Danio rerio: one gene and its partner. The main gene of each other region encodes a partner of the protein of the gene in region 2 in a complex. Links are inferred from orthologs where the notes say so. Each region holds a gene or a part of one and is shown on either strand. Other genes may lie near its edges.

Region 1 (4,523 bases), on a different chromosome or scaffold from region 2:
TAAAGGGTCAGTTCCCCCACACATGACAATAGCGTCTTCATTTACTCACCCTTTAACTCTCACACCACCTTTATTTCTTCTGCTGAACACCAAATACGATGTTTTGAAGAACGCTGGAAAAGGGTAACCATTGACTTCTACTGTATTTGTTTCACACTATTGAAGTCAATGGTTACAGGCTTGTAACATTTTTAAAGAGACAGTACACTCAAAAATCAATATTTACTCACTTTTGACTCTGACTATTCTGTTTGAAGATGTTAAAAAAAAAAAATGTTGAAAACCGGTAACCATTGACTGCCATAATAGAAAAGCAGACACTATGGTAGTCAATGGTTACAGGTTTCCAGCATTCTTCAAAATATCATCTTCAGTGTTTGACAGAGAAGTGAAGCCTATAACAGTTTAACACACTCTCGGGTGAGTGCATTGTCAGTTATGGATGAACTGTCCCTTTAAAATTCTTCAAATACGCCAGAATTGTTTTTTCACCCTCTAAATATGAAATACGTGATTTATAGACGCATAAACTCCTCCACGTGACGACATCGTGTCTTACAACTTTTTACCTTGCCACAGCCGCATCAGTGTCTGGATGGAAAAGGTTTCAGTAATTTAGGGCGGGGCTAGAAATAATTTAAAGTTGAACTGTCTGTGTTCAAGGAAAAGCTATGAGTAATTTAGGGCGGGGCAATCATTAATTTAGGGTGGAGCTATCAGTAACTTAGGGTGAGGCTATCATTAATTTAGGGCGGAGCAATCATTAATGTAGGGTGGAGCTATCAGTAAATTAGGGTGAGGCTATCATTAATTTAGGGCGGGGCAATCATTAATTTAGGGTGGAGCTATCAGTAACTTAGGGTGAGGCCATCATTAATTTAGGGCGGAGCAATCATTAATTTAGGGACGGAGCTATCAACAATTTAGGGCGGGGCTATCATTAATTTAGAGTGGAGCTATCAGTAATTTAGGGCGGGGCTATTATTAATTTAGGGCAGGGCAATCATCAATTTAGGGTTGAGCTATCAGTAATTTAAGGCGGGACAATCATTAATTTAGGGTGGGGCTATCAGCAATTTAGCGAGGGGCTATCATTCATTTAGGGTGGGGCTATCAGTAATTAATGGTGAGGCAATCAATAATTTAGGGCGGGACAATAATTAATTTAGGGTGGGGCTATTAGTAATTCAGGGTGGAGCTATCAGTGATTTAGGTTGAGGCTATCATTAATTTAGGGCGGAGCAATCATTAATTTAGGGTGGAGCTATCAGTAATTTACGGTGGGCTATCAGTAGTTTAGGGTGGGGCTATCAGTAATTTAGGGAGGGGCTATCAGTAATTTAGGGAGGGGCTATCAGTAATTTAGGGAGGGGCTATCAGTAGTTTAGGGTGGGGCTATCAGTAATTTAGGGAGGGGCTATCAGTAATTTAGGGAGGGGCTATCAGTAGTTTAGGGTGGGGCTATCAGTAATTTAGGGAGGGGCTATCAGTAATTTAGAGAGGGGCTATCAGTAATTTAGGGAGGAGCTATCAGTAATTTAGGGTGGGGCTATCAGTAATTTAGAGAGGGGCTATCAGTAATTTAGGGTGGGGCTATCAGTAATTTAGGGCGGAGCTTTCAGTAATTTAGGGTGGGGCTATCAGTAATTTAGGGCTGAGCTATCAGTAATTTAGGGTGGGGCTATCAGTAATTTAGGGCGGGGCTATCAGTAATTTAGGGAGGGGCTATCAGTAGTTTAGGGTGGGGCTATCAGTAATTTAGGGAGGGGCTATCAGTAATTTAGAGAGGGGCTATCAGTAATTTAGGGAGGGGCTATCAGTAATTTAGGGAGGGGCTATCAGTAATTTAGGGAGGGGCTATCAGTAATTTAGAGAGGGGCTATCAGTAGTTTAGAGAGGGGCTATCAGTAATTTAGGGAGGGGCTATCAGTAATTTAGGGAGGGGCTATCAGTAATTTAGGGTGGGGCTATCAGTAATTTAGGGCAGAGCTTTCAGTAATTTAGGGTGGGGCTATCAGTAATTTAGGGCAGAGCTTTCAGTAATTTAGGGTGGGGCTATCAGTGGTTTTCAGTCTTACAGATGAGACCTAAAACAAAGCTCCTGACTATCTGTGCTCATTAATAACCTCAGGGCACTTCTGGTAAAGAGTAGGGGTGTAACCTCGGTGTCCTGGCCAAACTCCCTCCATCAGCTCCATCCACTGAACTGGCTCCATCACTGTCTCTCCACTCCACCTCTAGCTGGTGTGTGGTGAAGCACTGGCGCTGTTGTCCTGCACACTGGTGGTGTTGTCGTCATGTGTATGAACTGTATAAATGCACATGATTCACTTACTCTCACTTATAACTGCAGATGAACTGCAGAATGTAAAGGTGAGCAGGCGTGCCGTCTCCTCTCCTCCACTGAGCTGAACACAACAGAGGAGCACATCACATGAACCACAGCCGTCAAATCGAGGTAATCCACAAGATTTATTGGTCAAATGCAAGAGGTAGAGGTCTTGCAGTCAGTTATATTCTCTGTACATCAGATCCGTCAGTAGTGCAACTCGTGCAGAGATGAAGGACACGCAGAGCAGAAGAACATCACATGTCAGATATACACGGAGAGAGAAGAGTCCAACATGTACAGCAGACGAGCTCCGGGAGCCGCTCCTCCACACAACAACACAAAAACAAGAACCATTAAAAAGCAAGAGTTGGAGAGGCTCCAGCCGGCCCGCCACACGCTCTCAGACGGCCAGGAGACAGAGCCACGTCCTGAAGCGGAGCTGATCCATGCAGAGCGTCTGTCCGCATGCTGGAGGAGAAGCAGACCCCGGGGGACTGTGGGAAACCCTGAGCGCAGTCGGTCTGTCCTGTGTGTGTGTGTGTGTTACGTGAGAGGTGTGTGTGTGAGGCTCTGCGGGTGCAGCTGCTGCCATAAATGTTGCTGCTGCACCGCCAGCTGCTGACTCTGATCTGATGATGACAGGATGTTGACCAGCGGAGACACACAGTTCTGCGGGATGATCAGACCTGAGGAAAACACACACACACACACACACACACACACACACACACACACACACACACACACACACACACACACACACACACACACACACACACACACACACACACACACACACACACACACACACACACACGGAGGAGGAGTGAGGCTCTGGCTGTGTCCCGAATCACACACTTCTGCACTGTATAGCATGTTAACAGCGTCTCTGCAGATATCATGATGTCAAATTTAAGACCTTTTACGATCTTTTTAAGACCATTAAGTATTAAATTTAAGACCTATATCGCAATATCAAGAACACACGACAGAAAATGTAGAAGCACAAAATTAGGGGTAAAATAAAGTTATTTAGATTGAACAGTAGTAAAGTCAGGTTAAATGCACCAGTGAACTACAGAAAAACAAACATCTAAATGCAGATTTATACTTTCACCTGGCGCCGCACAACTCACAAAACAGATTAAGACTTTTATACTCGACACGTTCACCATTGAGATATATTTTTGACAGGGGGCACTCCAAAACAACAGACAGTAAAATCAGACGAGTAAAAAGATCATCATCATCATCACTGAAGATGTTTTTGAAGGCCTCTTTTTTGTTTTAACAAACTCATCCCTCAGAGTTTTCCCAAAGTTTTACAAAAGCTTTCCTCCTTTCCCATGGCTGTTGCAGTTTCTAGCCAATAATTATTGGTCAATCTGGCAAGCAGAAGTGTAGCTGTGATAGAAAATAGGTAAAGACTTGATTATGTATTATAGCCTACTGTACTGTTCACTCTTCAAATAAATCCCACTATCAGTCCCATTTTATCACTGAAATAAAGTGCACACGTGTCTGCTGTACAGTGTTGTGTGAAGTACAGTAAAGTGCTTCAGTTACTCTGTTGTGGTAATACTACAGTTGCTATGGTAAGTGTATAATAAACTCCCCAGTGCTTAAGTTTTTTACAATATATTGTATATTATTCTACAATTCACCACACTTTACTGTAGTAAAACTGCACTGTATTTCATTTATCAGTTCACTATTCTTAACACTACAGTACGCTGAAGCATCTCTGGAAAAGCACGAGAGGAGTGCGACCGAGCGAGAGCAGATCATTCGCACGTGAGCAGCCGGTGTTTTGAGAGCTCGCGAGCAGTTTTGTCTATGAAGGAAACCGGTGCGTGAGCAGAGATTCGCTCTCTCGTATTACAGCGCTCCCGACTTATAAAACTGCACTTGCGACATTTGTCAGTGAAATAACGGCACACTCTGCCAGCCGAAATCATCACGCACACTCAAAGCGAACTACCGCAAACACAGCGATGACGTCACATTCACCGCGCGCACTGAGTTTAATAACAGAAAGCTGATTGGCTATTGCAAGCTGACTTTTTTGTAGTTGTAATACCGCAAATTACAATTGGACTAGTGAAATACAGAAGAACTACAACACCCCAAAAACCAAGCAACAATAACAAGAATTTAAATGAGCATTAGATGTAGCGGTACATGGACATCA
Region 2 (4,433 bases):
ATGTATGCCCCCTTAGACAAACGAAATATTGAATGCGAGTATGAACTGCTGCAAGAGTGTTGTTTTAATGAAATTTGATACCAGACACCTTATTGAGAAAAACACCTCTGCATTTCACGATGCAGGTGTCTGTAGTCCTTCACTGACTTGGTAGGTGCAAAGAATAATGTCAAACAGCCGTGTGTTTGTGTATAGACCAGGTGTGGGCAAACTTGATCCTGGAGGGCCAGTGTCCTGCATAGTTTAGCTCCAACCTTATTCAAATAGACCTCATCATAGAGTTCTAGTGATCTTGAAGACACTGATTGGTTTGTTCAGGTGTGTTTGACTAGTGTTGGAACAAAGCTCTGCAGGGACACCGGCCCTCGAGGATCAAGTTTGCCCATCCCTGGTATAGACTACTGTATCTTGACGCAAAATGCGGCGAAAATCCTACACAACAGTACCAGTTTGATTAAAATGTTTACATGTCTGTACTGCACTTCAATACTGCAACTAGATCGGCATGTGCCACATGTTGTAATTTGATTTCTGTTTAGTTCGATTATGACGTTAATTAGATTTTTTTATTGTGGTTTACATGGTAGACTCTTAATCAGAGTATTGTCTCAAATCAGATAATTGTTGTCCATGTAAACAATAACTGATGTTTAAATCCATCTCATTTGGCCACTTCAGTAAATTAGTAAAGTAGCCAAATGAGATGGATTTAAACATCCATTATTGTTTACATGGATAATAATAATCCATTTCGAGACAATACTCTGATTAAGAGTCTACCATGTAAACCACAATAAAAAAATAACAATCCAATTAATGTCATAATCGAACTAAACAGAAATCGAATTACAACATGTGCCACATGCCGATCTAGTTGCAGTATTGAAGTGCAGTACAGACATGTAAACATTTAAGAGAGTCTATGTTTGGATGTATGAATGAGCCATTTGTCATTTTTATATATAATATTGTGATATAAGCTTGTGGACCATATATTTAAGCATGAAAATAAGGAGTGAAGCAGGTTTTGTTTCTGCTTTTATAGCCAGAAAACTACATTAAACACCAGACATGCTTTCATGCACCAATTTCTGTTCATCTAAATGAATTAAATCGAATTGCACATCAGTTTACACAATCTAAAAACTATCATCAGATTCAAACATCAGTTTATTTGCTTTATACATTCTGATTGAAACATTTGCGACTGAAACTTGTGACATCATATCACACTTTAGAAAACAGCATGGAAGTAACACCAACAGATCTCATTATTGCTATTTTTGCCCTGTTGGCAACGACATACACATTCGTAAACCAGCAACATACATTTTTTGTGAAATTTTACTTTTTCCATCGATAAGTTCTCTACCTGATGCCATCATGGCAACTAAAGGCATGTATGTAAACTTAAACACCATGTATTTCAAGTCACAGCACTGTGCATATGCCTCGGACAATTTTGCACACTAAAGAATTTTTGGGTAAAGGATACATTCCTTACAGTTAGGCATAACTGATAACATTATCATTTCGATTGCAGGAATTCTTCTTGCACTTACATTACGGTAATGATGAAAATCCCTAGAAATGGCACATTTTATAATGCAATGTTTTTTTTTACTATTCTAAAACATTACCAATTGTGTTGTGTGACCTGACAAGACACTAAGACCTTCAGCTTGGCCTTTGACTGAGGCTAAGAAATGGTTTGTTTCTGGGATACATTTGTATATATAGCATTTGTCAAAAACAAGACGACGAGGTGAAGAATGTGCATTCATTAACAAACACTTCATTCATGCAAACAAGCATTTTCTCTTCATTGCCATTTAAATGACATTCTTACACATGTATCAACACATAACATCACACAAGGAGCATGTCATAAGGTAACCGCGCAAAGTATTCAATTATTACAAATGCTATTAGATTTGCAGTGAATTCATAGGAAGTTTGCTCGTCCAGCTGCAAAAGCATTTTCAATGGCACTGCATTATCGCCGCCATGAAACAATGTCAAATTCCGCGGCATGTAGCCGGCTAATTGCACAAACAAACGACGCGACGGTATTGTTAAATACACGCTGTTAATTACACGCGTGACAACAAATGCACATCAAAACAGTGCAAATTCTTAACGCTTCGGCAAATAAGTGGGCAGAAGTTGAATGTGGTTTCTCTAAGGAAATCGAGTGAGGGGTGTTAAATGCTAGCTCGCTTTGCTACCTTGCATGCCGAATGAGAACCCGTAACTAATGGATACGTGCCAAAAAATGAGACAAATGATCACAAAGAAAAACATCGGCGTCTAAAATTGCAATGGTTAAATAGCAAGCATATCTCGCTTTTAACCTATGTGGGTAAATCTAAGAGAAACGTGCTCTAAGTGCGCGTTTCCGATTGTTTTACATATAGTAGTGATTATTTGTTTATGATGTGGCTAGCTAGCAACATAGCCTGCTTGCTAAAATGCTAGTGCGGCTATGATAGTTTAAGAGGCCTGACCCAAATCAGAACCCAAAATATTCTGCATCCACGTTATCGTTTTCTTTTGCAAGGACACTGCACGTGTTAAAGAGTTTAAAAGTGAGCGGCCGGTTTCGGGAATTCGCTTGAAATGAGTCCCTGCCTTCCAGTCAGGTCTTACGGTGGTGCCTGTGTTTTGACTTGCGTTAATTCAGAATATAGACGGACATACCTCCGACCCGGTACATGTTGGCCGCCATTTCTGCCCTCCCGGAGTGTTAAAAAACCAAACCATAAACTAAAATAAAAACAAAATAAATATGTGAATCAAGAAGGCATCTACGTCCTGTGACCTGTTGGAAAGCAATCTGGCTTAAGAAGTTTTAAATAAGGGGGGTGGACCTCAGTAAGAATAGGAGATTTTTTTGCAGCCCCCCTCCCGAGATTCACAGTACAATACAGTAACTCACTCACGCGCTAGAAAAGGCTCGAGCGCAGCAGCTTCCTGATGATGAGATGAGAGGAGGAGAGAAAAGAGGAGGGAAGGAAGAAGGAGGGTGAATGAAGTCTACAGACTGCAACCTCAACACGACACTCATGACTGTTTTACCCACAGAATTCAATTAATCATGGTTTTGATGTGCATTTAAATCATTTAAAATAACGTTTTCATATTTTGCCAGTTTTTTTGTTATGACAATAAGTGTCTTTTAAAAGCTGTCAATTGTGGAAAACAAGATTGATATACTTGATTCACTGTTTAATTTAGTTTTGAACATATCACAACCCGATGCACAATGTTTTAGCAACCTATTTATATGAGTGGCAAAACCCAGTTAACACCAATAATAAATGCTGACACTTTGTTTGGTTTTATTAGCATGCTACTTTATCTGTCTGTGTCTGTTGTTCTTAAAAAATACTTTTATTGAGGTTTTAATAGTTTAAACAATATATTGTATATGAAATAATAATATATTTAACAACCGAAAAAGTACTTGCCTTTCAATCTGCTGTGAATTTATTATTATTATTTATTTTTTCTTTTATTTACCTCATTAAGGTGGCACAGTGGCTCAGTGGTTAACACTATCGCCTCACAACTAGAGGGTTGCTGATTCAAGTCCTGGCTGTGTCAGTTGGCATTTCTGGGTGGAGTCTGCATGCTCTCCCTGTGTTTGTGTGGGTTTCCTCCAGGTGCTCCGGTTTCCCCCACAGTCCAGAGCAAAGGTGTAGATTTGGCCTGGATGGAGGGCATATGTCCCCACCAATATCTATCAATTACTGAACTATCCCCACCAATAATTGAATCACCTTCAAAATAAAATAATGCTCCATCAACCCTTGTTAACCTAGATATGCAGAAATGGTTAGTGACATTCTCTTCCTGGGTCCTCCCTCCCACAAACACATAAGGACAGTGTGATTGGCTGGGCCTATTTATGCTGTTATTGACAGCTTTAATTAAAAATCAAATAGTCCTCATTAATTAGTCACTTTTGGTAAAATCATGAATGAATAAACATAATGAAACTGCCTTTCCAGTACAGGGGTTCATGAATTAGTGTACTCTCGGGGTTGGGTTGCGGGTATGAAGGGCATCCAAATCATATGCCAGACTAATTGGTGGTTTCTTCCGCGGTGGCAACCCCTGATAAAACAGGAACTAAGCTTAAAGAAGATGAGCGAGGGAGCAAGTAACAGCCACCAAAGACCAACCATTAAGAAAAGTCAACACATAGCCTTGCATTGACTCACTCACTATCCTTCATTTATTAGTGGTCGCCACAGCAGATTGAACCGGCAATTACTCTGGCATATGTTTTATGCAGCCCTTCCAGCTGCAACCCAGTGAGGAGAAAGACCCATACACTCTCTCATTCACACACACATTCTTTCACTGTGTGTGATTTATTTATAAAATAATTTCGAGAGGATCTTGTGCTTATGATCAACACGGCTGGC

Evidence for each region.
Region 1: mta3 (region 2) and cdk2ap1 share a complex: the UniProt entries of both Homo sapiens proteins name them as parts of the nucleosome remodeling and deacetylase (NuRD) repressor complex. The link is inferred for Danio rerio from reciprocal best matches to the Homo sapiens genes MTA3 and CDK2AP1.

What each region holds. Positions count from the first base shown.
Region 1 is NC_133185.1:50,699,237-50,703,759, reverse strand, and holds the start of cdk2ap1 (cyclin-dependent kinase 2-associated protein 1), read right to left. Parts: upstream 2,839-4,523; 5' UTR 2,162-2,838; intron 1-2,161. Other genes in the region: sbno1 (protein strawberry notch homolog 1), read right to left, coding at 2,876-3,018. UniProt on the Homo sapiens protein: Inhibitor of cyclin-dependent kinase CDK2. Also acts as a component of the histone deacetylase NuRD complex which participates in the remodeling of chromatin.
Region 2 is NC_133187.1:27,003,913-27,008,345, reverse strand, and holds the start of mta3 (metastasis-associated protein MTA3), read right to left. Parts: upstream 2,932-4,433; 5' UTR 2,871-2,931; exon of another isoform or gene 2,767-2,870; 5' UTR 2,729-2,766; coding exon 2,701-2,728; intron 1-2,700. UniProt on the Homo sapiens protein: Acts as a component of the histone deacetylase NuRD complex which participates in the remodeling of chromatin.